2 linked regions of the Medicago truncatula genome follow. The protein of the gene in region 1 interacts with the protein of each later gene in a pairwise test. Links are inferred from orthologs where the notes say so. Each region holds a gene or a part of one and is shown in the gene's direction. Other genes may lie near its edges.

What was found.
Region 2: the proteins of protein TRANSPARENT TESTA GLABRA 1 (region 1) and basic helix-loop-helix protein A interact in binary tests that used the Arabidopsis thaliana proteins (3 or more experiments, as listed by UniProt). The link is inferred for Medicago truncatula from reciprocal best matches to the Arabidopsis thaliana genes TTG1 and TT8.

Annotation. Positions count from the first base shown.
Region 1 is NC_053044.1:45,896,052-45,912,130, reverse strand, and holds protein TRANSPARENT TESTA GLABRA 1, read left to right. Parts: upstream 1-7,982; 5' UTR 7,983-8,224; coding exon 8,225-9,253; 3' UTR 9,254-9,545; downstream 9,546-16,079. Other genes in the region: uncharacterized protein, read right to left, coding at 14,287-14,711, 14,944-15,382.
Region 2 is NC_053042.1:36,006,609-36,023,406, reverse strand, and holds the start of basic helix-loop-helix protein A, read left to right. Parts: upstream 1-8,626; 5' UTR 8,627-9,079; coding exon 9,080-9,189; intron 9,190-9,905; coding exon 9,906-10,160; intron 10,161-12,707; coding exon 12,708-12,804; intron 12,805-12,980; coding exon 12,981-12,995; intron 12,996-13,132; coding exon 13,133-13,189; intron 13,190-13,529; coding exon 13,530-14,055; intron 14,056-15,589; coding exon 15,590-16,515; 3' UTR 16,516-16,798. Other genes in the region: F-box protein At2g27310, read left to right, coding at 995-2,116. UniProt on the Arabidopsis thaliana protein: Transcription activator, when associated with MYB75/PAP1 or MYB90/PAP2. Involved in the control of flavonoid pigmentation. Plays a key role in regulating leucoanthocyanidin reductase (BANYULS) and dihydroflavonol-4-reductase (DFR).

The DNA of each region.
Region 1 (16,079 bases):
CCTTTGAAATCATAAGAGATAATACTATAGGAAAATTGCTTTTCTTCCCTCACGATTTGCTCGCTCCGAATCAAACTTTCGAAAATACATCTGCTAAGTTAACTTATAAGTGTTAATACCATATGATTTAAGTCACGCTGAAAGACAATACGAAATTTAAATCACTCTAAAGTCATGCTGGTTTCATTCACCCATATTCCAATTTTTAAACCTTCACAGTTTTGGATAAACCATAAGTAAGCAAAGAACCACAACAATTGTCTTCACCGAATAGAATTGATCATTGATGGAACAACAAATTTATCAAAACAAACATGTGGTATCCTACTCCGTGAGACATATCGTATCATCCAAAAGTGAAAACACAAGATCAATGGTTGCACCCAGTATGTCAATTCTCTTAAATCCATCCAAATTTGATAAATCCTTGGAAATTGCCAATAAGCCAATAGAAAGAAAAAAAAAAATCTTTATGTGAACATGAAAATCGTATATGCCAAATTCACTTTCTCTTTGTGAATTTCCAAATCCAAAGAAACCTAAATAAAACTAGAGCACTGTCAAATGAAAGAATTTCAGTTGAATCAAAAAATCTGAATAACTCACAAATAGAGGTAGAACACGCAAAAACAAAATTTGAACGAATCTAAAACTCAAGCAAAAGTAGAAATCTCAAGAATTCATCAAACAATATTCAGAAATCAGACCTTATAATGTTTTATGCAAAACACCCAAACACCGTGAGTAGATGCAAGAAGAGTCAGACACAAGCTGCAATACACCGAACAAAAAAATTGGAATTTGGGTGAAAGAAAACTAGCGTGAGTTAACTCATGTTGGGGGTTCAGTGTGAATTTTCAGCGTGATTTAAGTCACGTAAGTTGTATTTCAACGTGACTTAAGTCACGTGGTGTTAACACCTGCGTAAGTTAACTCACGCGTGGTATTTTCTGAAGTTTGGTTGGAGCGAGCAAAACGTGACGGGAGAAGAGCAATTTTCATACCATAGTGAGTGAGAGAAAATCCTACGGCCTGGGCAACATTTTGTTCGCATGAAAAGTTGTGAATTGTTAACCTACATATATCTCAAAATACGGTCATTGTACCTTATAATTTAACATCATACATCCATAAATTTCCATTAGAGCATCAAGGTGGGTAATGTGTGGTTGCGATCTCCAACGAAGGTGCCTAGGGTGATATAGGATTATTTCAAAAATCATTTCCCGTCAACTTGGGGATGTTGAATGAGGTTCAATTCAAGATGCTTTCTATAGACGATAATATGAGACTTATTAAACCGTTCTCAGTGGAGGAGTTTGAGTGAGTGGTTAAGTGATGGGAATAAGAGTCGGGTTCTAGACAGATTAAATTTTGTTTTTTTCAAGAATTTTGGTATTTGTTGAAAGTGACGTGAGAGTTATGTTTGATCAATTTCATGGCAATGAAGATATTTCAAGGAGTCTCTTATCTTATTTTGTGGCATTGATCCCCAAGGTTGAAATTATGTTCTCTTAGAAATATTTCCGTCCTATTTCTCATTTAGGGAGTTTGTAAAAACTTCTTTCAAAAGCGCATGCGTTGAGATTATCTGGGGTGATGAATTCTATTATATCTCATTTTCAATTGGCTTTTCCTAAAGGTCATAGCTTGGTGGATGGTGTCATGGTAATTAATGAAGTGCTGGATTTTTCAAAGAAAGGTAAAAGAAAATGTTTTATTCTTAAGGTAGATTTTTGAAAAGGCTTATGACTCGGTGGATTGGTGATTTTTAGAGTATATGGAGGGTGGGGTTGCGTAAAAAATGGGTGGCATGGACGAAGACGTGTGTGTGTGTGGTGGTAGTATGTCGAGTTTGGTAAATTGAAGTCCAACGGAAGAGATTAACATACAAAGAGGATTGAAGCAAGGGGACCCCCTTGCTTCTTTCTTGTTTCTTCAAGTGGTGAAATGATTTAGTGGGTTGATGAAGAATGTAGTGAACCTTAATATGTTTAAGGGGTTCAAGTTTACGAGGGAGGGGATGAAGATTTCTCATTTACAATTTGTCGACGACACTCTAGTGAGTAAATAAATGCAAATGTGATAGGAGGAGTAAGTGATACAAGTGATAGGATCTTAACTACTCTCCCTCGTGATGCTGCTTTTCTTTTCTTCTTCCCTCGTGTCAACAAGTGTGATGATTTATATTTTTGAAAAGAGATACACCATCCGGCCACTAATATAAACAAAAATATATTTTTTAAATACATTCAATTAATGATGAATGTGACATATAATAAAGATCACATACATCATTAATTGAATGTATCTAAAAAGTGGATTTTTGCTTATATTAGTGACCATAGGGTGTAGTAAGTAAGTGTGACTCGAGAGACTATGAGTGATGATGAAATTATATATACAAGAAAATGTCATCTTAGTATTTGGGAAGTGAGAAGTAATTTAAGGGTCAACTCGAGCTCAGTGCAATTTCAGTCTTGTCTCCTTTTTTGGCTTATACTTTTCTATTCTGATGTTTAGGTCAGACGTGACTCAAACCTTATAGGATTGATTAACGTAGTGGATCATGTTTTGTACATCCCTACCTCTAAGTAAATAAATAATCAAACGATATATTATCCTGCAAAATAAGAATTCTGCTCGTCTCCCATAAAAAATTGCTCGCTCCCAACCAAACTTCCAAAAATACCCATGCGTAACTTAAGTCACGAAACCTACGTGAGTTAACTCACGCAAAGACAATTTTGGTATTTCAGCTGCGAGCGAGCAAAATCAGTTTTGAGAAGAGCAGAATTCGAAAAATAATTGCCTCAAAAAAACCTTTGAAAATATTTAAAAATAATAATAACTTTGAAAAAAATTGGATTATTTAGCAATATATATTCTTAGTAGTCTAAAGGTGTGGATAGAGGATATTCTCTATTTTTGGGCTCAATTCTTATATCTGACTTGGCCCACATTGAGTCGTATTTTTTTAGAGAACCCACATGGAATCCTAATTCATAATAACTGCACTTAATTAAAATTGACTTACTATAAAAATTATATTTACATCGGTCACCACTTACCACAAGTATTAGCTAAAACAATTGTTTTTCAAAAAAAAATAAAATTTGAAATAACTTTTACAGCAGAAAAAATACAACCAAAAAAAAAAAGTTGAAATAACTTTTTGAACAGAAAAATACGAACATTAAAAGTGACTTTTATAATGATAAATTGACTATACAAGTTTTTTAAAAGTTTATTAAATGAAAAGTCTTTTTAAAAGTGATTTTTGCCGTGAAAAATACGAATGAAATAAAAATATTACGGTTCACACCTCTAAAAACAAATACAGTTGCCATTTATTATAGAAAATGTTAGTTATAAAGTGTTTAATTTTAATTTTATTGATTGTTGAGTTTAGCAACGCAAACTTATAACTTAAGTAGAAGGTATGAAGATGTTGAAAGATCATTTGTGTGTATAAAAACATTGTTTAATTTAGTTTAGCTGTAAAAAAATATTTACTTTTACAGCAAGCTTGTATTATTGCATTATATTTTCTTTCTTAGTTGACGATAAAATATTATTCATATATTTTTTTTTTAGATAGACGGAAGGCTAAAATATGCTTTTGATTCCTGCAAATACGGTTAGTTTGGGTTTTGGTCCCTGGTAAAATAAAATTTTGAAATTCATCCCTGCAAAATTTTTTGTTTTTTAAAATAGTCCTTGGACCCACTTTCTTGCTGATTTGTCCCATTTTTGCCTATGTGACAGATGCTGACTGTGTAAAGTTAGCCACATGGCAAATACGTGGAATTTAAAAGGAATTAAATAAATTAATAAATCAGAAAATGTTTTTATTTATTTTATTTATTGTATTAATCTTCTATATTTTAAATTTATTAAAATATAAAGGGAGGAGAATTGAAATTAGAGTTCATGTTACTTTCATCTTCTTCTTCCTCATACCAGTCAGTCAAACAGAAGCTTCCCAAAAACAGATAAAACCAAACAAGCACAACAACAATCCCAACAGGCACAACAACAATTAAACTGAAGCATCACAAGGTTATAATTGCTTCAATTTTAAACAGCTAATTTCAAATTACCTAATTTCCATATCTCAAATTTTCCCTCTCAACACTATAAAATTGGATCTGAAACGAAACCATTCATGTTTGCCACAATACACAGTGACATCACTGCTTTCTCTAGATCCGGTTTGAGAAGATCTTGGAAAAATCTTCAACCCAAATTCAAGAATAACAAGATCCGGAAAGAATAAGATACTAGAAAAAGCTTATGGGTTTAAGAATAGAGCAGTGGCAAAAGAGTAAAAACTTGGTTTCAGAGACAGGTTAGAGAAGGATCTTGTAACTTTGAGGGTTGGAAGGAAGATGACGACGGAAGAATAATATGGGTCTTTGAGTTTTTTGTATTCTAAGGTTGGATAAAGAATTAACGAGTTGTTGGATTTGGGTTGAAATTAGATTAGTTTATGAGTTTGGAATGGAGTGTTGGTTTGAAGATGATAAGATTCTTTTGGTTGAAGATTCATGTGAAGAAAATGTAGATCTGTGTGTTCTTTCATTTTGTGAGGAAGGGCTTGATGGTGGTGGTACCGGAAGAACAAACACGCGAAGAAGAAGATGAAACATATTGACTAAAACCAATGTTTTTTTTTTATGAATTTTAATTTTATTTTAGTAAATGATTTATAAAATATTTATAAAATACTTTAATGCGACATATGCGAGTTGACACAGTCAGCATCTGCCACATAGGCTGAAATAAGACAAATCAACAAGAAATTGGGTCAAAGGACTATTTTAAAAAACAAAATTTTTTGCAGGGATGAATTTCAAAAATTTCTTTTACTATCGACCAAAACCCAAACTCGCCATATTTGCAGGGACCAAAAGCATATTTTAGCCTAGACGGAATGATAAAACTATTATAAACTCACACACAAGTGGAGGTACCGGGGTTCGAACTCCGGTCTAACAATTTCAGCATTTTTACCGGTTGAGCTAGAACATATGGATTAATATTCATTTATTTAATGACTGAAAATAAGATAATACAATCATACATTTTCTTTCCTTTTTGACGATAACATAAGACCCATTTATTTAAGGACTAAAAATAAGATAATGCAATCAACAAATCATACATTGAAACAGATGAGAAGCTTTGAGACTCTCACATGCTATCCGATGGATAGAGGTGTCAAATGGGCTGGCCCGGCCCGGTCTGACCCGCGTGGGCCAACTACATAAATGGGCAAGCTCGGCCCGTGTGGGCCATGGGTCAGTCCGGCCCGTTTTAGTTTTATTTTTTAAATTTAATCACTCTTTTATATGTATTTTTTATGTATTAGTTACACACCACTATTTTTTTGCTAAAATATGATTTGGATGGACATAAAAATGTAAATAATTTTTACATTAACGTTGAATAATAGTTAAACTATAGATTTTTCCTTCAATTAAATCAAATTGATAATTTATAAACTTTAAAATTTTAATACTTTAAGCTAAATTTATTCATATTTATTAAGTTTATTTATTTAATATTTTTTATTAATAAAATTTAATTTAGTTGATAATTTTTAAAAAAAGCTAAAATATGCTTTTGGTCTCTGGTAAAAAAAACTTTGAAATTCATCCATGTAAAATTTTTTGTTTTTTAAAATAGTCATTGGTCCCACTTTACTGATGATTTGGCGCATTTTTGCCTACATGACATTCGTTGACTGTGTAATCATGCACACGTGTCAAACATCTGTCATTTAACATATTTTAATTATTTATATATCATTTTAATAATTTAATATGTTATTTTTACAAAATATAATTAAATAAAATAAAAAATAATTGTTTTTAAAAATTCCTTCTCTTCCCCTTCATCATATTCACCATTAAACCCACCAAAATCAAAAGAAAAACATTAAACATTCATCATCAACCCAATTTTTTTTTAATCAAGATCTTCATCCAAAACATTTATCAGTAACGCATATCATCATCTTCAACCCAAATGTTCATCCAAAACTTATCACATATATTCATCTAATTATTCATAATCCAATCAAAAATAATGAAAGATTTCAATGGGAAAAAGGGAAGAACTTAGTTCATCATCGAATATGAACAAAACCCAACAATAAACTTAAACTTAATTCAAATCAAGATCCACATGAACAAAAAGAAGAAACAGATAGGGAGGGGAATGGCCTTTCCATTATTGGTGGACCTTCCCTTGAATTGAACCGGTCACGGAGCTCTCCATTGAGTTGTTTAGGTTCTGGAATTCCATCTCTAGTTGGGGGTTTCAGTTCGAAGGTTATCAAATGTGGTGCGGGTTCATCTCTCTCGACCAGTTCAGGTTCAAGGGAAGGGTGATCGAGGGGACCCAGACTTTAGATCTCTTTCTTCTCTATTCTATGGCGGGAGGTTTCTTTCGTATCAAGAGTGTGTTGGGGAGGCCAGGGAAAGACGGAAGAACTTAATTTATCATCCAACAAAAAACTTGTTCTCCAAAAAAAAATCACTCTCTCGGTCCCCAATTTTTCCGTAACAAAACCACTATTTCTTTTTCTTCTCTGCAATATTTCCCCTCTCCCCTTTCAATCCAACCCATTTAAACCCCTCAACCAAATCAAACCCATTTCAATCATATCCAAATTTTGAGAAAGCAACAAATTCATGCTTCAGGTTCCAACAGAGTCATCTCTTTTGTATGATAATTTGAATTTGAGTTTGAACGTTAGATAAGTGTTTAAAGGCCAGATTTAAGTATGAAGGTTGTTGTTGTTGTTCACGACGGTGGGAGATGAGTGGAGCCTCTTTGTGAAAATTAGAGCATTTTCTCCTTTCTGTGAATAGTGGGGATGAATGGGTTCATATTTGGGTTAAGAATGAGGAGAAACCACTCATCTGAAAACAATATGAAAGATAGATTGAATATGTGAGGTGAAATTTTGACAAGGAATGAGTGAGATTTCCGATTTCATACGAGGCAAAGAAGGAAAACAAATTAATAGATGGAAGAGAAAGTGATGCAAAAAATGATTTGCAATGAAGAAGAAGATTCACGAAGAAGAATGGTAGTTATGAAGAAGAAAATTTTATCCCCTTTATGTATTTATGTTGTTAATTAAAAATAAAAAAATTATTTTATGTTTTACCTATTTATTTTATAAATGTTAATATAATTTTTAATTGCCACATGTATAACTTATGCACAGTCAGCGAATGCCACGTAGGTAAAAATGTGCCAAATCATCAGTAAAGTGGGGACAAGGACTATTTTTTAAAACAAAAAATTTTGCACGGATGAATTTAAAAAAAAAATTACTAGGGACCAAAACCCAAACCCAAACTTGCCATATTTGCAGGGACCAAAAACATATTTTAACCTTTAAAAAATATATTGTTTTTTTAACAAAAATCAAATGAAATATGGGACGGCCCAAATCCCGGTGGCCCAACCCAGCCCAACTTTTGTATGGCCCAAATGTGCTTGGGCCAAAAAAGCCCGAGTGCATTTTTGGGGTAGTTTTTTAGGCCCGACCCGGTCCAAAAACATGGGTCAATGGACCGGCCCATTTTCGACAGCTCTACCGATGAATGCATGCTCTACAAGTAACAAATGTGGATTTTGAATTGGATGCTAAGAAGGTTGTATATTTCAATAAAGTGAGTAATGATATAATTGAGTTTGTAATCTTCACTTTAAAAACTCTATGATAAACCGCAAACTAGACTTAAGTCTTAAAATTTTAGACAGGCCAGTCTTGAGTTTATTAGAATGTAGCTTGACTTAACCTATTCTACTTTTATGAGAGACTATTTTAACTAACGAAATGAATAATTAAAAATTATTTTAAAATTTCGATACATTCAAACTATCGTGGTAGTTATAATTTCGGAAACTAAACACAACACAAGAGTTGATCTACCATAACATAATGTAGATGCATTGGACATGCTCTTGGTGGCTAACACAACACAAATTGGGGACGTGGAGGTACCTTCTCGTCAATTTTGGCGCATACCATATATTATGCTAGTAGGAGGAACGAAGAATGTCAAGTGAAGAAGAATAAGGCAGTTGAGATTTTAAGGCTCGTGCCCTTCCTTCAGTCACCCCATCTTCTCATTTTCACTTCCCACCTAACTTTTCCCTGTCTCTCTTCCCCTTCCCCTTCTTCCACCATCCACCAAAAATGGATAATTCAACACAAGAATCCCATCTCCGATCCGATAACAACTCCGTAACATACGATTCCCCATACCCACTCTACGCCATGTCCATCTCTCCCAACACAAATTCCCCACAACAACGTATCGCCGTCGGAAGCTTCATCGAAGAATACACAAACCGCATCGATATTCTCAATTTCAACCCCGATACCCTCTCACTCAAACCTCAACCTTCACTCTCCTTCGATCACCCTTACCCACCAACCAAACTCATGTTCCATCCCGCCACACATTCTTCTCTCCAGAAAACCTCCTCCGACCTCCTTGCTACCTCCGGTGACTATCTCCGTCTCTGGGAAGTTCGTGAAAATTCCGTTGAAGCTCTTTCTCTTTTCAACAATAGCAAAACCAGTGAGTTTTGTGCTCCTTTAACATCATTTGATTGGAATGAAATTGAGCCCAAACGAATTGGAACTTCAAGTATTGACACTACTTGTACTATCTGGGACATTGAAAGAGGCGTTGTTGAAACGCAGTTAATTGCGCATGATAAAGAGGTTTATGATATTGCTTGGGGGGAATCAAGGGTTTTTGCTTCGGTTTCTGCTGATGGGTCTGTTAGGATTTTTGATTTAAGGGATAAAGAGCATTCAACAATTATCTATGAAAGTCCGCAACCTGATACCCCTTTGCTTCGTTTAGCTTGGAACAAGAAGGATTTGAGGTATATGGCCACGATTTTGATGGATAGTAATAAAGTTGTGATTTTGGATATTAGATCACCAACTACACCGGTCGCGGAATTGGAGAGACATCGCGCTGGTGTTAATGCTATTGCTTGGGCTCCAAGAAGTTCAAAGCATATTTGTTCCGGTGGGGATGATGCACAGGCTCTTATTTGGGAGTTGCCGGCTGTAGCTGGTCCGAATGGGATTGATCCGATGACTACGTATTCTGCTGGTTGTGAAATTAATCAGCTTCAGTGGTCTGCTGCTCAGCCTGATTGGATTGCTATTGCTTTTGCTAATAAAATGCAGCTTTTGAGGGTTTGAGTTTGAATTTCAGGTGAGGGAATAATTTACTTGTAGTTCTGGAAAACCAATTACTCATTGTGTTGTTGTTGTTGTTGTAAGTTGTGACTGATGAGTAGTTTAGTTTAACTTGATCATCTATTAAATTATAGAAGTATGCCATGACATGGATTCTTTTGGTGGTCTTAAAGTATTGCTGTATCTCATATGTGAGAGTGGGTTGGTTACTGTAATTGTTGGGTAGGGCGAACTATTTTAGTTTCATGTTTTACTTATAGCATAAATTGAGGTTACATTTGCTTGTTCAATTGAAGATGGAACTGGCCAATTGAATAGTTTAGTTACTGCATATCTAGCAGTAATGTCAAATAGCGGACAGCGGAATTTAAACAAATTGCTATTGTTTTGCGATCCACTATTTAGTTATCAAATAGCTGCTATTGTGGCGGCGCGATAGCATAGCAGAATTTCAACGAAATGCTGTTTTCCGCAATCCGCGATTGACAACACTGACATCTAGATAGATCATCCTTGTTAAATGTCAAAGTTTATTCTTTTTCTTGTGTTATTGAACAACCTGCCTCCTTGTATGCATGTCTCAGTAGTAGTTTTGATCATGCACTTTGACACCTCATTAGTTTTTGAGAAAGATGGTTTATATGCCCAAGTGGTTGCAATCTAAAGAATGCTTATTTGTTAAATGTTGCTAAAGCCTTGATGTGGTTTGGGGTTATCTTTGGCACTTATGTAGATATTTAGTCAAAGAAGTTCAGTAGCAGTTAAGCTTAAAGAAAACTTAACCCCTTGTTATTAGAGCTGGAGTTTCGTATATGATTGAATGTTGGTAAAGATTTAAAAAGTATAATTGATACTGCAGAAATGAGAACAGTGCGTGAGTGGTTATAGAATACAAGATTGAAAATAAGCGGAAATTGTGGTAGCCCCTAGTATGGGAAACATGGTAAAGTATTGTTTTAGGTGATTTTAGTACTGTGGAGAATTACTGTAGAGCTAAAGATGGTTAAATAGATGGAGAATATTTCAGTAGTTAGAGTTGAAAGAAGGTCACTCTGCTAAGGAAAACTACTGGCTAAACATTATGAGAGATTTAGAGATAAAGGTTACATGACATGCCTTTTTACTCAAAGCTTGTTTGTTGTTGTTGCTGTATTTACTCAAAGAAGCATAGTCCTTCATCCTTAGTATTAATCTTAGTTCTGAAGTATAAAAACATGACATTCCTAGACTACTACAGTTGTGTACTTGTTGAGGTCCATTTGGTATTTGCTTTTCAGCGTGCTGTTCTGTATTTCGAATGAAAAAAAAAAAAGTTTTGTGGTTTTGATATTTTGTTATTTTTAAAAAGAAACTTATGCTTCTGTCTGGATCAATTTTATTGACATGGTCCAGATTATTGTAATTTGTTACCCTCATGAACAATTGCTTCTTTAGGTATCACTTATCATTTATAACAATATTTCCTTTTCTATATCACTACCCGTCTTCAACATTGATTTTCTGGTTTGATGTTCTGGTAGTCTTTATACTAGCTATGGTTTTCAACATTCACAGTTGACTTGTCCATGAGTTGAATAATTTACATGAATAAGTCACATAACCATGAAACTTTCCATCAGAAGGATATACTCAATTCTTGGCGCTTTAAGTAGCTATATACCTACACTTTACCACCCCTTTTGAATTGGTCTACTATATTGATGTTTGAGTTAAATTTTTGCGAAGCTCATTGCTTGAATTCAGTTAAAATTTTGTGGATCAATTCTAGGATTTGATATATGGTTTATACACGTATAAGTTGGCCTTTATTCTCTGTTAGCATTTTAGAAGCAATATAAACATATTCATAAAGGAAAATGATCAAAAGCACGACAATATTTGTCGTGGAATATGCACGAATGGTTCTATAGTTTTTTTTGACAAGTGAATGGTTCTATAGTCGTCATTTAGCTTTTTCTCTTAACTTTGATTTGATCCAAAATGATAAATATTGCATTTCCTAAATTTTACTTGTGAGAAATCACAACAAAATACTTTCTTATGCGGTGGTCTTTATCCAAATCACTTCTGCATGTGTTTTATAACTAGAATGGGTGGATTATCCATGTATTTCTTTGGTGGCAGTATTTTTTTTAATATATACTACATACAAAATAACTCAAAAGCATATATATATGCATAACATAAGCTATAAGGAAGTCATTGATAAAGTATATAGCCTATGACTGAACATGTCGTGCAATTTCGTGCTTGAATCTGTCGGGCTATTTAGCAACGCTCATTCATAAATGCCTTACCTACTTGCTCATTCGTTCCTTTTCTGGAGACATCCTGGTATTGGTCAGAAAGTTCTTAAATACTTTGCTTGAACCACCTCCCTTTGTACTACTAAAGGATAACATTCCCTTCATAGAAATGTATTTCGAAGGATGCTTGCATTTTTAAAGAATGACTACTAATCTTTGTTTCCTCCACGTCAAGAATGGTTAAAAGTTTACCTATTTACTGATAAGTAATGTTCAGGAAAATGTAACTGTTTTTGCTGAGGTTCTGGTATAGTGTAGAGTACTTGTATTATTGTCTAAACCAGTAATCAAAATTATACAGCACCCCTAAACCAATAAATTATACTATTGGCAAACCATTTCTTTCAAACATAATTTCAATCTAAAACTCAAGCAAAACCTCAAGAGTTGAAACCGACCATCAAACTTTCAAAATAAACAGCATAACCTTCAACAATATATGAATCTCTACAAAATTTGTTGCGCCAAACCTTACCGCACAACAACATAACCATTGTTGACCACATACGAGGAAGGAGATTGTGAAAATGGCACCAAGACCGACCGCATAAATCTCTTGAGCAGAACCTAAATGCTCAACGATCTTGAAATTTTCAATTTGGATTAATCAATAGTATTTTTTTTTTGAACAATGGATTAATCAATAGTAGATGACAAGATTCTCATTACAATGACGTGGTGCTTAGCCGATCTGATCTAGACATTCCGAAGAAACAAATCGTTGAGAAATCGATCATGAAGTTGAGAGAACACGAAATCACATCAACGGAATGAGATCTAAAACTACGCCTGTGGTGGAATTGGAGAGACATCACGCTGATGTCAATGTGATTGTTTGGGCTCCAAGATGTTTGAAGCATATTTGTTCGGGTGGGGATGATGCGCATGCTCTTATTTGGGAGTTGCCGGCTGTGGCTGGTCCGAATGGGATTGATCCAATGACTATGAATTCTGCGGGTTGTGAAATTAATCAACTTCAGTGGTGTGCTGCTCAGCCTGATTGGATTGCTATTGCTTTTGCTAATAAGATGCAGCTTTTGAGGGTTCGAGTTTGAATTTCAGGTGAGGGAATAACTTACTTGTAGTTATGGAAAACAAATTACTCATTGTGTTGTGTTGTTGTGAATTGTGATTGATGAGTAGTTTAGTTTAACTTGATCATGTATCAATTTCAGAGTTATGACATGGCATGGATTCTTTTGGTGGTTTTAAACTAGTGATGTATCTCATTCAGAGTGAAATGGTACTCTGATAGTTGGGTGGGACAAACTGTTTTACCTTCCTGCTTTACTTATAGCAGAAATTGATGTTGCATTTGCTTGTTCAATTGAAGATGGAGTTGGCCAATTAAACACTCCGCCTCCTTGTATGTATGCATGTCTCAGTAGTAGTTGTGATCATCTGCTTTGACGCCTCATTAGTTTTTGAGAAAGATGGTTTATATGCCAGAGTGGTTGCAATCTAATAAATAACTTATTTGTTATATTTTTGCTAAAGCCTTGATGTGGTTTGGGGTCATCCTTGCCATATATGTAGATATTTAGTTAAAGAAGTTCAGTAGCAGTCAAGCTTAAAGAAAATTTTATTCCCCTGTTATCAGAGCTGCAGTTTCATATATGATTGAATGTTGGTAAAGAATTAAAAAGTATAATTGGCACTGCAGAAAAGAGGAAATTGTGGTAGCCCCGTATAGAAAACATGGTAGACTATTGTTTTAGGTGATTTGAGCATGTGTGGAGAAGTTCTGTAGAGCTAAAGTAGTTTAAATAAATGGAGAATAGTTCAGTAGTTAGAGTCGAAAGAAGGCCATCCCGCCAAGAAAAACTACAGGCTAAACATTATGAGAGATTTAGAGATAAAGGGTGATGAAAACCTGCTACAACAATTGCATGTTAACTTGAAGCTCTTCCCAAAAACTCTTCTCTTCATTGAGAATTTCCCACTTGTTGAGGTCCCTCTGGTATTTGCTTTTTAGCATGCAATTCTGTATTTCAAATGAAAAAAAAAAAAGTTTACCGATTTTGATATTTTGTTATTGGAGAATGCTAACCAGTGCCCCAAGGGCATTGGTTAAGCATCCAAAACACGCAAAATTTTATGAAAAAGTTATGTAATCATTACGATCAAAAGTAACATCTTATAATTCCAAGATAAAATTTCTATTTGTAGAATCCTTAACCATTGCCCTGAGGGCACTGGTTATCAAGACCCTTTGTTATTTTTGAAAAATAACTCATGCTTCTGTCTGGATCAATTTTATTGACAAGTTCCTGATTGTTGTAATTTGCTACCCTCCTGAACAATGACTTCTTATAGGTATCACATCACTTATCATTTCCCCTGCCTTATACTTTCTATATCACTTCCCACCTTCTGCTTTCTTCCCCTTTCTTTAGCATTGATTTTCAGGTTTGATGTTTTGGTAGTTTTTATACTAGCTATGGTTTTCAACCTTACACTTTGACTTGTCTGCAAATGGAATTTGAATGGTTTACATGAGTAGGTCAAATAACCATGAAACTTCCCATCAGAAGGTTATACTCATTCTTCCAGTGCAGCTGTATCACATGTTCTTATGTTTGCAAAACACATTCTTATGCTTAAATTGAAAGAAACTTGATCAGCTAAACTCAGCAAACAAAACCAATAGAGGTAACCGTTGCCGCCACAAAGAAGCATGAGTTGCACAATTATTGGGTCCTTGCTTTCTTCCTTTTCTCCAGAAAGAGTTCAAACCGAGATCCTCCATGTCAACATCCTCTGCAAAACTTTTGCAGGCATCAGCAACCTATCGGTAACCAGTGCATCGACAAAGGTTACATGCAATAGATTTTTCAGCCTTGAAAACAGAGATTTTTGAGAAACCAGCTGGTGGCTCTGGAGAATTGTTCTTTTCGGCATTGACAAGAGCACCAAAGAGGGAAAGCCACACATTCCAGGAGTACAAAAGCCACATTGAGAAGCATGGAATCCAGAAAATCTTTCATGACTTGGATGGAATCCTTGTTTGCTATTTCCAATGCCATCACTTGTCGTTATTGAACATCCATTTATGCTACAAAGTAGTGTGAGACAAGAGCTTGCTGTAAAATCTTCGACTCTGTTGAGCAGTGGATCATATTTTGATATTAAAACTACACAAGTACCACAACCACCTGCAACCAACCATGCCAAACCATGAAGTTCCAAGTTAGGAAAGAAATTGAGGATTTTTATCAGATAAATAACAATGTATTGACACTTGAAAGTGTAATTTGTTTTCCACACGCATCGAATTATATTTCATCATGTATTTTTTCTTAAAAGATCTGCACAAATATCTACATGATATGAATATGATTGAATTTATGCGTAAGACATTCTACAACATCAATACATAGTAATTACATTCTAAAAGCAAAAGATTTTTCTCTCTCAAATCTTGCCCTGAAGAGAGATTCTGCAAAAGAGTGAATATGAGAGCATGAATATTATAATCTTGACGAATCACCCTGTCAATTGTGTCCCATAAATTCGCATTCCGCCATACTCGAACAACTTTAGGGCACTCAATGAGAATATAGATGTTATCTTCATAGTTGTTATTACACTGAACACAATCAAGTGGACAAGAGACTCCTCTACCATTAGGACGAGCGCGTGTTGAAAAACAACCACGATGCACACGCCAAAGAAAATTCTTGATTTTAGGAGGCACTTTTAACTTCCAAATGAGATTCCAACGACCATGAACATGCATGTGAGAGTTATCTGCAATTTCAATCACACAAATTCTATATGCACTTTTAACTGAATACTTACCACTCTTTTCCCCTTTCGAAATCATTTTATCTTCTGTTACAGGTGGCTAAAACGGTGTGTTTAAGAATTAACCGCACAGTGTGCGCATCAAATAAATTATGAATGAGAGGCACTTTCCACATCTATGATTCTTGGTCAATAAAATCGCAAAATTTCACCTGCATCAAAGGCTCAAAAATTGGGTTAGTTGTGGATAAAGACATATCATCCTTTAGCCAAGGAGCGCCTAGAAAAGGTATATTATCAGCAGAACCTATCCACCAACGCGCACCCTGTTTTACAACAATTTTGGCACTAAAAACACTCTTCCAAACATAGCTTGAATTATGCCCAATATTAGACCCAATGAAATCGGAATTAGGAAAATATCCAGCCTTAAATAAAGGAGAAACAAGACTAGAAGAATCAGTTTGGAACCTCCAACCTTGTTTTCCTAACATAGCCACATTAAAAGATGTCAGATCCTTAAACCCCATGCATCCAAAATTCTTATGAACAAATAATCTTTCCCAAGACATCCAATGTAACTCTCTGCGCATATTACCATCATTACCCCACCAAAAGGCATTTATCATTTTTTCAATTGCATCAACTAATTTATTTGGCAGTAAAAGGACACTCATAATATAAGATGGGATAGGTTGTAGTACTGACTTAATCATGACCTCTCTGCTAGCTTTGAATAAACACTTGCGGCTCCAACTATTGATTTTGTGCTAAAT
Region 2 (16,798 bases), on another chromosome or scaffold:
GATGATGAGTTTGTGTGGACATGTTTCTAAGTAGCTTACTTTGATATTTGGGTGCCGAATTAGTTAGTTGTTATTGTCAAATCTCACTTACTCTCAGCAATATAAAAGTGAACTGAGTATTTGGTGCTAGGAAGGTTTATCAAGGAATATAGTACTTTTGGTCCTATGTTTTTATTAGTTAAATTTTAAAAAATAATTCAACACTGACATTTTGTCCTCACTGTATTACTTCGACTACTTCTTAGATGCACAAGAACAGTTTCAAAATTCTCTCAGGAGTCACAGGATTTTACTAGTCAGTTATAGTTACCTAGATAGCAAGTTCCCGACGTATTCTTTTGTAACTGCAGACTTGCTGTATCTATAACTACTCATTTACCTTCACCTGGACTGCGATATTGGAGCGTCTACATGATAGTATATTATTTGGCATTGACATTATCAATATTGAGTTCTTTCTTTTTTACTCTTTCATGTCCAATCATGTATCAGTATTACTGATCCATTTACTAATCTTAGCATTAAGCTCACATTTATTTTGAATTCAACTTATTAGGAAAGTTAACTGAGTAATAGGAAAGCTCACATGCATTACTCCTTTCGGAGAAACTATTAGGTAAGATTTGAAAATTAATGCGGTGTATGATAGAACATTATGGCGTAATTTGATCAATGTAGCCGAACCCACTTAGTTGGAAAAGGCTTGGTTGTTGTTGTTGTAACCTTTTAGTTTGCAACTGATCTGTTCAGATTACTATGCAAAGTTTTGGTGGTTCTGATAAACTAACATGCTCCTGTGTGTCCTCGAGGGATTTGTTCTGGTGCACTAGTCGTAACATAATTGTGAATTCCATGTTAGCAAAACGTTTTATGCCCCATTATTGTTTAATGTTTGAAAATCACTCATTTAATTTGTTTTCTTGTATTCTAAAGAATGCATGTTCTAATTTCTTCTTTTTTAATTTGTTATTTTTTGACAGCCAGGATTGTTACTATGTCAATCGCACCGATTGATAGCATGACCTCATTGAATAGTGATCTCTTCTATGACATATTAAGACGGCTTGATGGCCCTGCGTTGGCTAGTTTAGCTTGCACATGTGCAGCATTTTGTTCCATCTCAAAAGAAGAGAGTCTATGGGAAAACGTGTGTGCATCTGTGTGGCCTTCAACCAAAAGGGAGGATGTTAAAAGTTTAATATCCTCTATTGGTGGTTTCAGAAAATTCTATGCCGATTGTTTTCCTCTTATCGTTAACAAGGAAGTCGGAGAGTATCAGTGGAACAACCATCTTGAGTATCCTGATGATTGGACTGAAGCAGAATACTACGGAGATACAAATGAATTTGAAAGCATCACCCCATCAGATTTTGTTTCCATCGTAGACATTAGGTTTAAGGATAAACCAATCTGCTCCAAAGTTCTATCTGGAATTCCAAACGCAAACGATAACGGTGGTTGGTTCTACAACTGTCCTTTTCGTATCGATCTTCTCACTTACGCTGATAGAGATGATAACAATGCGGGGGAGGTGACCCTTTCTGTTTCCAACGGTCTTCCACCGATTACATCAATGGAAAGGGAAAGAAAAGACGGGAAACTATGGCACGAGCTTCGTGATGGTCTGCTTCTTAGTTGGATATTAGTAAACAAGAAAATAAAGCAAGCGGCTAATCTTGCTAGCTGGAGTCCTCTTGACGGTCAAAGACATTGGCCGACGGATAAAGACTTTGTCATCCGATTTGGATCGGTTCTACCGGCCAAAGACATTCTTCCTTCTCAAGTAGTGCAGTGTATCCTTGCCATGAAGTTTAGAGTGGTTCACATTGAAGAAGAGGGGTTTGAAACTACTTTAAAATTAACAGAACTTAGCATGCAGTTGGAAGACATGGAAGGTGCTCATGTTAATGGAAAAAACAGTTTGCATATTCTTAAAGAAGCACTTAGCTGCAGAAGGAGCAAGAATTATAGTGAAGTTATTGAATCTTGTCATATGTACTCAAAAGTGCAAAATGAGTTAAAAGAGGAGAAGATGAGAAGTGAAAGTAGGTTGGATACACTTTGTATTTTAAGTGGCATTGCTGCTTTTATGACATTCTGGTACTATGTTTTGTGAAATAACTAGGATTTTGAGGACTCCTTTTTGTAAGATAAAATTCCTAATAAAGTAACTAGTTGATGAAAGTTTCACTGGTTTGAAATTTGAAATTCTCTTGGTATGAAACTTTTGATAATTGACTATCAGCAGCTAGTATTACAAATATGCTTGACTGTTTTCTCCATCAGTTAAAGAATTTCAAAGATCATGCAGGGATTAATGTGCTTCATGCTGTCTCCAGTCCAAACAATTTGTGACCCAATTGCTTCAAACAATTTGGACTAGGCAATTTGACTCTAGTGCTGGTTTTACCTTTTTTTTTTTACTGGTTTTTTAAAAAACTACTCTCTTTCGGATTTGTCAATTTGGACGAGGAAGAAACACCATTTATCTCGTGTCCTGATGAATAAATCATGAAATGGATACATAAACTCCCATTTGACTTGATAATTCTAGTTCCATGGGCTAACCATAAAGACCATGGGCTAATGAATAAGTGTAAAACATGATTAGAGTTGTAAAGACTTCACCATAGTTTTATAAGGATGAGTTAAGCTAAATTTAGAAAGAAAGAAAAAAACACAAAGTTTAAGCCAATTCCAAATATAAAAGTTTCATACTCGGTTGTTTCTTTGTTTCTAGATACACTACAACACAACAAATTAAAGTTGCATCTTCCTTGGATAAATCTTGTAATGCTTTGAAGATAATATTCTTGCTCTCCATATCTTATTGTATTAAAATAGAAATAGAAGAAAAGAAAAGCAACATACTCCAAACATTTAAGCTACTTGGATATTTAAAAAATAAATGAAGTATATCTTCATTGTCCACAGTACGTAGTGTACAATTAATAGGAGATGTGACTCCTCTATCTCTTAGACGCACACGAGTTGGTAAGCAATTCCTATAGATTTATCACAAAGTTTTTTTTTTTACCTTTGGGGGATTCTTGATCTTCCAAATTAGATTCCAAGAGCCTTGTACTTTAAAGTGTGATTCTTACACACAGAAATGTTATGCGCTACGAACAAAGTATTCACCATGATTTTCTTTTTTTCAGATGAGTCGATCTGTCATCACTGATGGATAGAGTGGTGTCTTCACTATATGTTCAACTACCTGCCGATAAAAAATTGGGTGCATGGAAGACAGATTCCATTCCTTGCGATCATTAAGCATGCAATCTAAGACCACTAGATCAGCTAGAGAAAAATATCCCCATCAACCTCTGGAATAAGTGTAACATCATTTGCAATATATTTGTTATACTAAATCGAGATATCCTCACCATCACCTATCTTCCATCTGCTTTCAGCTTTGAGAATAAATTTAGAGTTACATATGCTTCGTCATATAAAGCTAGGCTTATGTCCCAAAGTTAATTAAAAAATTACATCTAGGATACTTTTTTTTCAAGGATTAAAAGTTTTTTTTTTTCACGAATTTTCTTAACCAAGCATGTATATATATTATATATGATGTAAAAAGTGGCACAATTACGTGATTCAATTAAAATACATGTGAAAGCAAGTTTTGCATTATCATTGCGTGCAAGTTATAATTTCTTCGGCCCCTCATCGAATAGCTTTCTGGATATATATGTTCCTGTTTGAATGGTGGAGGTTGGTTCAATGGAGCTATGAGAGATTCACAATGGAAAGCATCAATTGACGCAATTAATTGTATGATGTTGTCATCTTTTGTTTACTTTCTCGTACTATCTACTTACCAAGGCTCTCAAAGAATATGGTGAATGGACCAACAGAGAACATGCAATGCAATCAAATGCAGAAGAAATGGATGTGGGGGTAAGATTTGGATTTCTTGCCTGTGGTCAGCAGTCAAGCAATCCGGCAAGTCAGATTAATATCGAATGGTGTTGATAGCAAGGTCCTTTTACATTGCTATTGATTGAGCCATTTCTCATCCTGTCATGAAGAATTAATTGGCAAGTTTGAAATTCGCTGCAAAAGGCAAATTTAGTGGGCTAACAAACCTAGTAGTTTTTTTTTTAGGGAAAATAAACTTATATCATTTCATTAAAAATTAAATCAGAAATACATGTTGGACTTTCATCAAAGATGTGGAAGCTAGGACCTAATGTGGCTGCCTTAGCTAATTCATGAGCAACCTCATTTGCTTGCCTCCTAGTAAACTCGACATGAGAGTTTGTTAAAAAGATATTACAAAACTGGATAGTATTCTCCATAATGGACCCAAATTCGGTGTTATCTCCTCTTGCCTTGTTGAAATAATCAGCTACTGTTTTCGAATCTACCTCAAAATCAACATTTGTGAGCTGAAGTTCATTGATCCACCGAGTTGCATGATAAAGTCCTAAAGCTTCTCCAATGTTAACTGGACACAGTGGTGAAAACCACATGGTTTTTGACGGGACGTGGTTTCCTTCCGAATCGCGAATGCACATACCAATACCTACTTTATTGCTGGATGTAGAAAAAGAGGCATCAACATTGCATTTGAGTCTTCCACTCCTTGGCTTCCTCCATCGGATGTTACCATACCTGTTGTTCGTATTCTGACTATCATGAGTTTGAGGTCTTGAGAACAAACCTAATAGTTAAGGAGCTATAGAATGAAGTAGTATGGACCAGTTCATTAATTAACATGAGTTTTAAAATGAGGGAGAAATAGAATATGTGACCTTCCACCCTACAACTCATGCATCATATATATAGACACACTAACAACATACATACATCAAGATGGGGCTTCTTCTATCTAATCCATGTGCCTAAATGGTTCTACAAATATGCATACATCATTCATATTTTTAAGAGTTTATTTGAGGTGTGTTATTGGCGTAAAATTATATTTTTAGAAGAGTAGATTAGATGGAGGAGAGTCAAATCAAAAATATGTAGAGAAAGATTTAGAAAAACTATGGAGGAGAAAAGGAAGAAAAATAAAAGAAAAATATAGGCGTCGTAAGTCGTAACAGTGGGGGTGCAGTGCAGGAGAGAAATTGGAGGCATTGTGATCGCGGGAGGCTTAGAAAGGTCCACCTCTTTCTTGAAATTTACTACTGTTTACACTTGCCAGAAAGTTAAAACACACATGAAAAAGATCATAATTTGTCGAATAGGTATTCCTCCTCAGTTAGCTCCCGTCGATTTTTGAATTTTTCAGCAGTTAATTGCCGACACACGGTTATATCAGCGGATTACAACAACCTAGTCCCCTACTCACTATTTCATCAACTTGCTGACAATTTTCGCAAAATGTCTGACATGCACGTATCAGCATTAAGTGCCGAAGTATGGAGGCATCGACAGATAACTGCCGATGGAGTTTTGGTGGTTAACTACCGATGCGATGGTTCATAAATTGCATGCTACTGCCTATTTTTTTTTTTTGTTTATTTTAATCCTTTATGCAACTAATGTTTTTGCATTAGTTAGTTGTTTATTCATCGTGATGTGTTGTATATTTATAGTTATGGTTGAGTACACAGATGATGATGCGGTTGAGACAAAACCTATTTTTGTCGATAATTTCGGAGATGTCAAACCGCCTAAGGTTGAAGTCAAACCAAATATTGATGAAGCTTCAGTCCATGTTGAAGCTTCATTATATGTTGATTCCGGTGTCGTCCCACTTGATGCCAACTAAGTTGACACAACTAATTTTTTTTCCCGAAGAAGTTAAATGGAAAGATAGGGATGAGTTGCTTAATTGGGTACGTTGTCAAGCAAATACGGCAAGATTTACAATTGTTATATGTAGATCCAAATTGATCAATCCAAAGTTGCAATTAGTGTGTGAAAGGAGTGGCGATGACAAAGTGCCGGAAAAAAAGATTGAAGCACGAGGCAACAAGTTTAAGAAAATGTGGGTGAATGTTCATGGTTCGTGGATATCTTAGAAGGTAAACAAATGATTGGAGATTGAATATTCTTAAGAGTTCACAATCATGAGATGGAGCCAAGTTTAGAAGGACACATGATTGCTGGTAGATTAAAGGAGAATGACAAAAAGCTTGTATGTGACTTGACCAAGAGTTTGGTGCTTTGAAAAAATAGTTGTTAAATTTGAAGAGCAAAAGACAAGATTGCAAGACAAATATCAAGCAAGTATGCAATTAACATCAACAAATATGGAAGTCGAACAGAGGTGACAAGACGATGATGCATTATATAATCTCAAAGTTGGAGGAGCACAACTATGTTTATTTCACCAGAACACAAAGTGAAAGTACTACTATTGAAGACATATTTTAAGCTCATCCAACATCCATTAAGTTGTTTAACAATTTTGGTTATGGACTCCACCTACAAAACCAACATGTACATGATGCCAATGTTTGAGATAGTTGGGGTCACCTTGACTGATTTGACATATTCAGTTGATTTTGGATTTTTGACACATGAGAAAGATGACAACTTTGTTTGGGTTTTACAAATGATGCTTAAACTTCTTAACTCCAAGAGTAAATATGACTGACATGGATACAACTTTGATGAATGTGATTGCAACTGTTCTCCCAGAAAGTAGTTATTTTCATGTTGGAAAAAATGTTAGAGTCATGTGCATCACTGACTGTAGATATGCTTTGGGAAAAAAGGATTTGAAAGAGGTGAAACACACTGATGTAGTGATGTAATGAAGAAGATATTGAGAGCATGAGATGTTTATTGTTGAATCACCCACACAAGAATTATATGCAATTGCATTAGTGGAGTTCAAAAATGTTTGTAAAGATTTTCCAAAGTTTCTTACCTATGTCGAGAGCCCCATTTTGGATGTTGTTAAGGACGAAATAGTGAGGGCATGGACATATCATGTCTTGCATCTTGGATACAGAACCACCAACAGAGTTGAAGGGGCTCATGCTATAATAAAGAAATATTCGAGCAATAATGTGGGTGATTTGGGTACTTGCTGAGAGAAAATACATGATATGTTTGTGATCTAGTTAGATGCGATACAAAGACGTCATTTTGTACTTTGGGTTGGGGGTTATGTGTCTAGATATGCTTTGGGTAACATTGTTTTGGAAGAACAGCGTTGCAAGGAAACATTATGTATGGACAATGTTGCATCGTATGGGCTACCATGTGCATTCTTCATTGCTGTGAAAATTCGTGACAACAAGCCTATTTTATTGGATGAGATACACCGTCATTGGCATAGGTTATGTATGGCTGAAGAAAATAATGAAGATGGTTTTTCTGTCGATGAGGAGTGGAATAGTGTTCAAGAACGTCTCAAGAAAGTCCCTTATCAAATGAAGCTAGAAATCAAAGAGGTTTTGCGGTAGTTGGTATTTCCAGACAACACAGTGTTGTCTCCACCATCAAGAAAAGTATCAACCAAGAGAGCCAAGAAAAAAGTGAAAATTTAAGGTCTAGAGCAAATGTGGCATCGACTATTCGAAACCTTTCTTCGTGGGAGCGTGTTGATTCTCAATATCTAGATAGTCAACCGTCACCAACTACGTCATCATATCCTAAAAGGAAAGGTGCTCGTATTGGTAAAACATCATGTTCCCCTTTCCACCACCTACTCGGTTTCCAAAGTCTACTCCGGTTCCAAAACCTATTCTGATTCCAATGCCTAATAATGTTTTGAGCCCTATTGATTATATGTCAAAATTCATGGTTCCATTTATTGAAAAATATGGTGGATGTTAAAGGTGATGAGAGTTGTGGATTCAGTGCTAGAGCCGAGTTCTTGGGATTGACCGAAAAAAGTCATATCATGATTCGTAAACATCTTATTCAAGATGTGAATTATCGTAGATATGATTATGAAGAATGGAATATAAAAAAAATCTAGGGGATTGAGATGTCTTCTAAATTAACAACTTCATGGTAATAGTAATTAATTACTTTTTATCATTACTATAACCTGGGACTTTTATAAGTTAAAGGAGAGGTCCAATCAAATCTTAATCGTTTAAAATAAATGTTTAATTAAAAAACATGAAAGATAAATCATTTAAGGGTGATTTAAGAAAAAATATACCACTTGAGAGTATTGTAGATCTTAACATGTGAAAATCTGATCGAAGGTAATCCATTATCCTTACCTTTATTTATTATATTATATTTAAATCCTCCTAATTATTCCATTAACTTTTTATTAATAAAAAAAATTAGTGAAAAAAAAAACGATCAAATGAGATATGAGAGGCATGAAGTATCGATTACTTCGAAGGAAAATGTTTGGTATACACCTCATATAAATGTATACACCTTAAAAGAAAGAGAAAAGAAGAAAGATGTGATAAATGTAATATGTTGATGATGTTAAACGAGTGTATGAAATTCAAAGGTCTTTATTTATCATCCTTGTACTCTTCATTTATCATTGTTGTACTCATAATAATCTCTAGTTGTGTTTTATTACTGTTTGTGCTACACTTTTTTTTATATATTATCTCGTACAATCAAAAACCAAGCTAGCTGGCGCCCTCAAAATGACTAACACAACTAACTAACAAACCAAACTATGATATATACAATATCAGTATATATATATATGTAGCACCCAAAAACTGGCTGGTAGACCAACCAGTCAAAAAATACTCCCTCCTTTGCTACATCACTCTTCACTTCATCCTTCAAATTAAACCATTTCTCTTTTCTTAACCAATAAACCTTCTTCTATATATGATCTTATACAAACACATATAGTAGTATTTATTGAATCTCTCCCGTATCCACCTCAAAGTCATAACCCTTTTAAAGTTAAACCTCTTTCTTAGTCTCACCTACAAGCCATACACACATACCTGCAAGTCTTCTATTCTATATACTTTCTTCATTGAAAGTTCAGCTTACCATCTTTTCTCTCTTGATTTTTCGTTGTCTATTTACTTGTCATGAAACAACAGAAACCAATTTTACCTGTTTCAGACTTTTTTCCTACTTTTGGAAAGGTGTTTTAGATATGATTAAATATTGCAGAGAAATGAAAGAAAAAACTGTTTGGTAATGACTGAATGAATAAAGAATGGCTGCTCCATCTCCATTAGGCAGTAAGCTTCAAAACATGTTGCAGGCTGCGGTGCAATCTGTTCAGTGGACTTATAGCCTCTTCTGGCAACTTTGCCCACAACAACTGTACGTCATCATTTTCTTTTCCTCTTCCTCACTCACTATATATTCTTCTTCTAATGCTTCCAACTTTTTACTTTGTCTTATAAAAATACACACATACTTTGTCTTCTTCTAACCTTTGATAATATTATGTCAAAATTTAGGTAATTATTGAGGTCGTGATGTTGCATAGACATGTTAAACCTTTATATGCCTTTTGCAATTTTTGATGTTTCAATTTTTGGCACAAACCCAATAATTAAGAGTGTGTATATATAAAAAAAAAAAAATTATGTATGTCATCGTTTTAATTTCAATTTTTAGTTACGCTGCAAACTTTTATATTGCAAAAAAAACATAAAAATGCAGCTGATGCGGTTGAAATTGCAACTTTGATGCCGTTGAGGTGACTTGTATTGTGACTGCAATTTAAAATCATCGATCATGTATATCGCCGCTGGTTATTTTTCTAGTATATTAGTTGTATTCTCCAAAAAAATAAAAACAGTTCGATTCAACTTCTCTGGGTTTATGTATATTTTATTAATCGAAAAAAAAGTAAAATTTTATTATTAATCATTTTACAGTCATTCTTAAAGACATTAGACCTCCTTCTATTAAAGTTACAAGGTGAAACTCTTACTGAACTCACACTTCTCGAACATATTCACTTTGACTAGTAATAGCTTATGTGATAAAGAATTTTATAATTTTCTCTAACACAATGATTTGATATACAGGATTCTAGTATGGGGTGATGGATATTACAATGGATCAATTAAGACTCGAAAGACAGTGCAACCAATGGAGGTTAGTGCTGAGGAAGCATCTCTACAAAGAAGCCAGCAACTAAGAGAACTCTATGAATCATTGTCTGCCGGAGAGACAAATCCACCAACTCGTCGTCCATGTGCTTCCTTGTCACCTGAGGACCTAACAGAATCTGAATGGTTCTATTTGATGTGTGTCTCTTTCTCTTTTCCTCCTGGTGTAGGGTAAGTAAAGTAACTCACCTTCTTCCATTATTTCTTATCTAGCTAGCTCTCTTTTATGATATATCAATTTCATTCAGAAAACTAACCTATACTAGCTTTCTCTTTACATTAATTAATAATCAGTACTTCCACATTCTTTTTAGAGTTTAAACCAATCATCTGTCTGTGTGATTTTAAAATTATTTATGATTAAAGTCAAACATTTTTAATGATTTAACATTATAAGTGATTGAGTGTGTAAAAACTATTATACTAATTGATTTTCTCACTAATTTCATATTCAACCTCATATTATGAGTTTAATTTTGTTACATTTTGAGTGGAAAAAATGTTTGCACAATCGACCAATCAAAAGTCATATAATATATATGAGTTTTAACTAGATAATTTAAATAACAAATTCAAATGTCCTAGAGATAAGTAAAGTTAATTTTTGAGTAAAGTAGAGTAATATATATAGCTCAAGTTTGCCAGCATAATTCTTGAAGCATAATAATATTGAAATAACTTTGGTAGGATCAAGTTTTGCTTTAATGCATATCTTGATCATTTAATTAGTTATACTATTATTATACTTATAGACACTAAATATATATATGTACTCTAGTTAGGAGAATAGAGAAATTATGGTTTATCTCCATGAGAGAGGAAAGCCTGTTGTTAAATGCAAAAAAAAAAAAAAAAAAATCATGCAAGCTGCAAAAATTGAATAAACATATATACTAGCTAGTACGAATTATGCTAAGTTAGGTTTTGAAATATCTTTCCTTTAACACAAAAAAATAAATTTTGTGATAAAAGAGGTATTGCTAAAAGTTATCATATGAAGTAGCAGTATACATATTATCAATGCAGTTTTTCCCCCGGTTAGATATGCATTTTGGTGAGGCATGCAGACTGTTGCAGAGGCCCCCGCGAGTGTTGCTTAAATGCTATATCGATCATCACCTACGAATTTATGAACCGTCAGCAACATTTTAGGAATATATATCCACAAATATGAACATCTATTATATCATATACATTTTTACATAGACAAAATAGCCTACAATGTGCATATTGTTTTTGTGTTGAAAAATTGAGGAGACGGTAATATAAAAAATTAACAATTTTCTATGATTAGTCAAATCTATGCATCAAATTATCGATCAAATTAGTTCTTAATTTTTACAAATTAGCAATTAGTTTGTGGATGCAATATGTGAATATGACAAGATTGATATTCAGAGGATTCTATCGAATAAGAGTTTGCTTAGTTGAGCATTATATGCTTGAAGAGGACGGCTGCTATAGAGGGAGTTGCTCATTTCGAAAAATCAGACAAATTTGAATGCTTTTTCAGAATTCAAATTAACTTAGCTGCAAAAAAATCTCAACACTACTTAATTACTAGTTACTACCATTCTATTTTTGGAAGTTTTCACTATCACACTTCACTCTCTCTGTCTTTATCCAATTTCAAACTTTTCACATATCATTTGCATTTTGATGACAGTACGTGTTTTTATTTTTATTTTTTTTAGCTTCACATAGGAACATAACATCAATTGGTCACGGTATATGAAGATGTGTGTGTATTCTTACCAAATATTGCAATGAGTCTGATTAGTTCTCGATTATGGAATAAGAGGTAGCTTTAGATAGGCCATAAATAATGTAGATTAGTCTATATCTATAAAAATAATATATACATACACAAAGCTGGCTATAAGTATATAAGAATCCTTCTATTTGTTATGTAATATAGGTACTTACATATACTACGTTAGATTTGATGACAAAGAAAAAGCATAATAGAGTTGAGAGAAGTAGGATTCGATTAGAATGGACTAACAATAATGCACTAATAATTTGATGTCATTGTAATCTATAGGAAACAGCCAATTAATTGTTGGTTCATTTTAGGGGCTATGAAGTTATTACTACTTTGGGCCATTTTAACTTTCGTTTTTGTAGGAAAATTTGTTTATATGATTTATCGTTTTTAAAGTTCAATTCACTCTTAATGAATGGTTTAAAAAAAAAATTGTTTTTAAGGAAAATGATTTTAAATGTTGTTCTATTCTAATTCATTGATTTGAATCTTTTTTTGTTTAAGAGTGGTGCTTAGTTATAAGGTAGAATAATAGAATAATTAATTATACCTACATAGTATTTAGTTATTTATGGTACGGAGTGGGTATTTTTTGTTTTATATTCTACTCTAATAGGATTCATTATTCTCTCAAGTAGGATAAAATAAGTTGGTAGTATTAAATACAGGGCCTTATACTATATGACAACCTAAACAAATTTAGGTACTATATTATTATTATTGATGTACCACCGGCAAAATACTAACATCCATGGATTCAAGTACACTTTAATCTTTTGATGAGTCATTTTTCAAACTGTTGTGTCATTAATTGTGTGATAGGTGATACAATATTTAAGACATACTATTTTTTTTGTTGATGAAATACTATGAAGATATTATTAATACAAGTGTGTTGATTATGATTTTTTTTTTCTGTGTTTTGACACACATTATATTGCACCATATATAAGGTTGCCTGGAAGGGCATACACAAAGAGACAGCATATATGGCTCACGGGTGCAAATGAAGTGGATAGCAAAATATTTTCAAGAGCTATTCTAGCTAAGGTGATCACCAATTAGTACATTAGATTATTGATTTTGACAATTTTTCATTTATAAAGAAATTTTTTAAAAGTTGCTTTCATATTATAAATTTATTGAACATCATGAAGCTTATAATTTACTAACTAGCTTTTCTTTCCTCTTGTTTCTCAATCATTGGCAAAATTTCCACTGGCTAGAGTGCTAATATACAGGTAACAACTCCTCCATCCAACTTTAATTTGTAATTTTGTACTCCATTTAATTATATATAATAGGAGGAAGTAAAAAAAAAACCAAAGTAATACTTTGTTTTATCTAATGGTTAATTTGTGTAATGTATAATCTACAGACTGTGGTATGTATTCCTGTATTGGATGGCGTCGTTGAGTTTGGCACAACGGATAAGGTAACATATTTCATTTGTCTCATATTAGGTTTAGATTGTCTAATGGTATGCATATTCAAGAAATTTATTGAGTATTATACCATTTCTTATGTAAAATGATGTGCATTACCGCAATGAAAATAATGTTCGTGTAATAATTTGGTGGGTTGGAATACAATAAATAAGACTATATTAGTTTTAAAAAATACAATTAATGTTTTACTAATATTCTAAAAATGATAAATAATATAAGACAAATAAATATCTTGAAAATGACACTAGGATGAATAGAGAGTTGAACTTGAATATAGTGTAGCATCTCATCTCATTTACCTTATACTTATGTTTGTTAATTTCTTAGGTTCAAGAAGACCTTAATTTCATCAAACATGTGAAGAGCTTCTTCTTAGATGGTCACTCTTTGCCGCCAAAGCCAGCACTCTCAGAACACTCAACCTCTAACCCAACTTCCTCAACCGATCACATTCCTACCATCATGTACACCATGGCAGACCCACCCTCTACAAATCCCAATCAAGACGACATGGATGAAGACGAGGAAGAAGAAGAAGAAGAAGATGAAGAAGACGACGAAGTTGAATCCGAGTCTGAAGACGAAACAGGAGGTCGTATCCGACGTGCAACCTCAATGACGGCTATTGTAGAGCCAAGTGAGTTGATGCAAATTGAAATGCCCGATGATATTCGGATCGGGTCGCCAAACGACGGGTCAAATCATTTAGATTCAGATTTTCATTTATTAGTTGTGAGTAATCAAGGAAACCCGTTAGGACACGTGGACTCGTACAAAACCGATTTAACACAAAGGTGGGGCCCAATTGAAGAACCGGTGGGTAATTTGCTACAAGTTCAACTACCATCCTCAGGTAAATTAATAGTCATTAGTAATTGTTAGAACAAACACACATGACACTGCATTATATAACAACTTGCATTTGAATCTACTCACCAAGCATACAACGTTAATCTTTAAAATAATTGATAGCGAAATGACTTGTTGAAATTTCGAACCCAAAATCTAGAAATTAATTAAGCACATATTGATGGAGGAGAATTGGACCACATATAATAAGGTTAGGCACAGTTTGGGGGGCTGGCTGGTCATTAGATTCAAACACTATTCTGTTTTCTCTATAGATCCATATATATACATGTGGTCCATCCTAATTAATTCCATTGTCTACCCCATTTTTGCGGGATCCACTTCTATGCAAAATCGGACTCAATTTAATGCTCAGCCACCAAAGTCCAAAAATATTCACACCCCACACGGTAAATTATAGACGTGACCATGCTCCCCCATGCAATATATTATCAACATATTTTTTGACAAAATATATTATCAATATGTATGTAAAAAGGTTTCTATTCGTTTAATAAAGAAAAAATATAAAATCATTTATTTACAAACCATGTAATAAAACTCATTTGCTTTAATTAAGAGAGAAAATACAAACTTTTGACTAACTCTATATAAGGGGGGTCGGTAGCTCAACTTTGTTTGTTTGAGCTAATGGTTAAAGAAGTTGATAAGTTAAAGAATTAAGGTGGACTAAGTAAAAAAAATAAAACCAACTATGTATGTTGATTATAAATTAAAAAAATTGCATTAAAATTTAGGAAAACGTTTATATAACGTCAAGATCTAATATGTGTTGGGTCATGAGAAGTTCAGGGGTTATCACATAAATAAAATTAAACACATGTCTTAACTCAAAATTTTAAAATATTACAAAAGAAATTATCAATCCAATTTGATGGCGTGACAAATAAATTCACTCTTAGTCCATCGTATCATTTCAATCAATCTTCTTATCCAAAGCGTGAAAAGATAATTGATCCATGAACTTTAAAAGCTATGACTCACTTTTTATGTTTGGCATCAAAGAGGAAAACAAGAAAAACATTAATTGCATACGGAAACCTTCCACACACATTAAAAAAAAAACAACAAAACTCAAACCATTTGCTAATGTTAAAATAAATTTTAGACATACTGAAGTTAGCATGACTCTTATGTTAATTTCATCCAACTTCACTTCTAACAAGCAACAATTTGGAGCATGTCTTTTTATTTCTTTGTAGAAAACCAACATATAAATGTTGAATGAGTGAGATCTAGGGAAACCTAATTCCTAAAAAAGTGACATGCATGTCTGCATTGGCGACAAAACTATTAGAACTTAGTGAGATATTGTAATTTTAGCAAAAAAAACTACACTCTTTAGTTTCACAAAATTATGTTCACATCAATTCATTGGACTGCGATGATCTTAATTTTCAAAAGATATACTATATAATTCAATTTAATTTAAAGAGAAATAGACATGAAAAATGTTTCAAAAGATTTTTAATAACAAAAACATTGACATGTGCTTGTACTTGTGCATTTTTTTGCAGTACTTCATCATCAACTAGAAGACTTAACACAAGAAGACACACACTACTCTCAAACTGTTTCAACCATTCTTCAAAACCAATCAACACAATGGACTATCGATTCTTCACCTTCCATCAACTACATCACTTCCTCTAACCAATCCTCTTTCACCAACTGGACCAACCACCATAACTTCCACCCTCTACCACCACCGGAAACCACCACCACCACCTCCCAATGCCTCCTCAAATACATCCTCTTCACAGTCCCATACCTCCACACCAAAAACCATGACGAAACCTCCCCTCAAACTCATGATGCAGGCGTTGACCCCTCCTCCAAGTTACGTGGCAAGGGAACACCGCAAGACGAGCTGAGCGCCAACCATGTCCTCGCGGAGCGACGAAGAAGAGAGAAACTCAATGAAAGGTTCATTATTTTAAGATCATTGGTTCCATTCGTGACAAAAATGGACAAGGCTTCTATATTAGGTGACACTATTGAGTACTTGAAACAGCTAAGAAGAAAGATACAAGATCTTGAAACACGTAACCGTCAGATAGAGACTGAACAACAAAGTAGGAGTGGTGTAACGGTTTTGGTGGGTCCAACAGATAAGAAAAAGGTGAGGATTGTGGAAGAGTGTGGAGCCACGAGAGCGAAAGCAGTTGAGACGGAGGTTGTTTCGTCGGTTCAGGTTTCGATTATTGAGAGTGATGCTTTGTTGGAGATTGAGTGTTTGCATAGAGAAGGATTGTTGCTTGACGTTATGGTAATGTTGAGGGAGTTGAGGATTGAGGTTATTGGAGTTCAATCTTCGCTTAATAATGGTGTTTTTGTTGCGGAGTTGAGGGCTAAGGTGAAGGAAAATGGTGGAAATGGGAAGAAAGTTAGTATTGTGGAAGTTAAGAGAGCACTTAACCAAATTATACCTCACAACATTTAGTGCATGATTGAAATTGACGATGAGTTTGATAAAATCACAGTGATATCGTAATTTTTTTAAAGTTTTAAAGAGTAATTTTTGGCAAAACAATAGTGGTACAGTGTGATTCTGTCAAACTTATTGTTAATCCAAATATATGTTTGAATCAACGGTGAATTTGCCAAAATCAGAATGATTATGTCAATCTCACTGTGAATCTAAACAGGTAATGATTATGATTTTGGCATCTCGTATACATTGGCTTAATATGTACATATATATCATCTCAAGCCATGACCCTAGG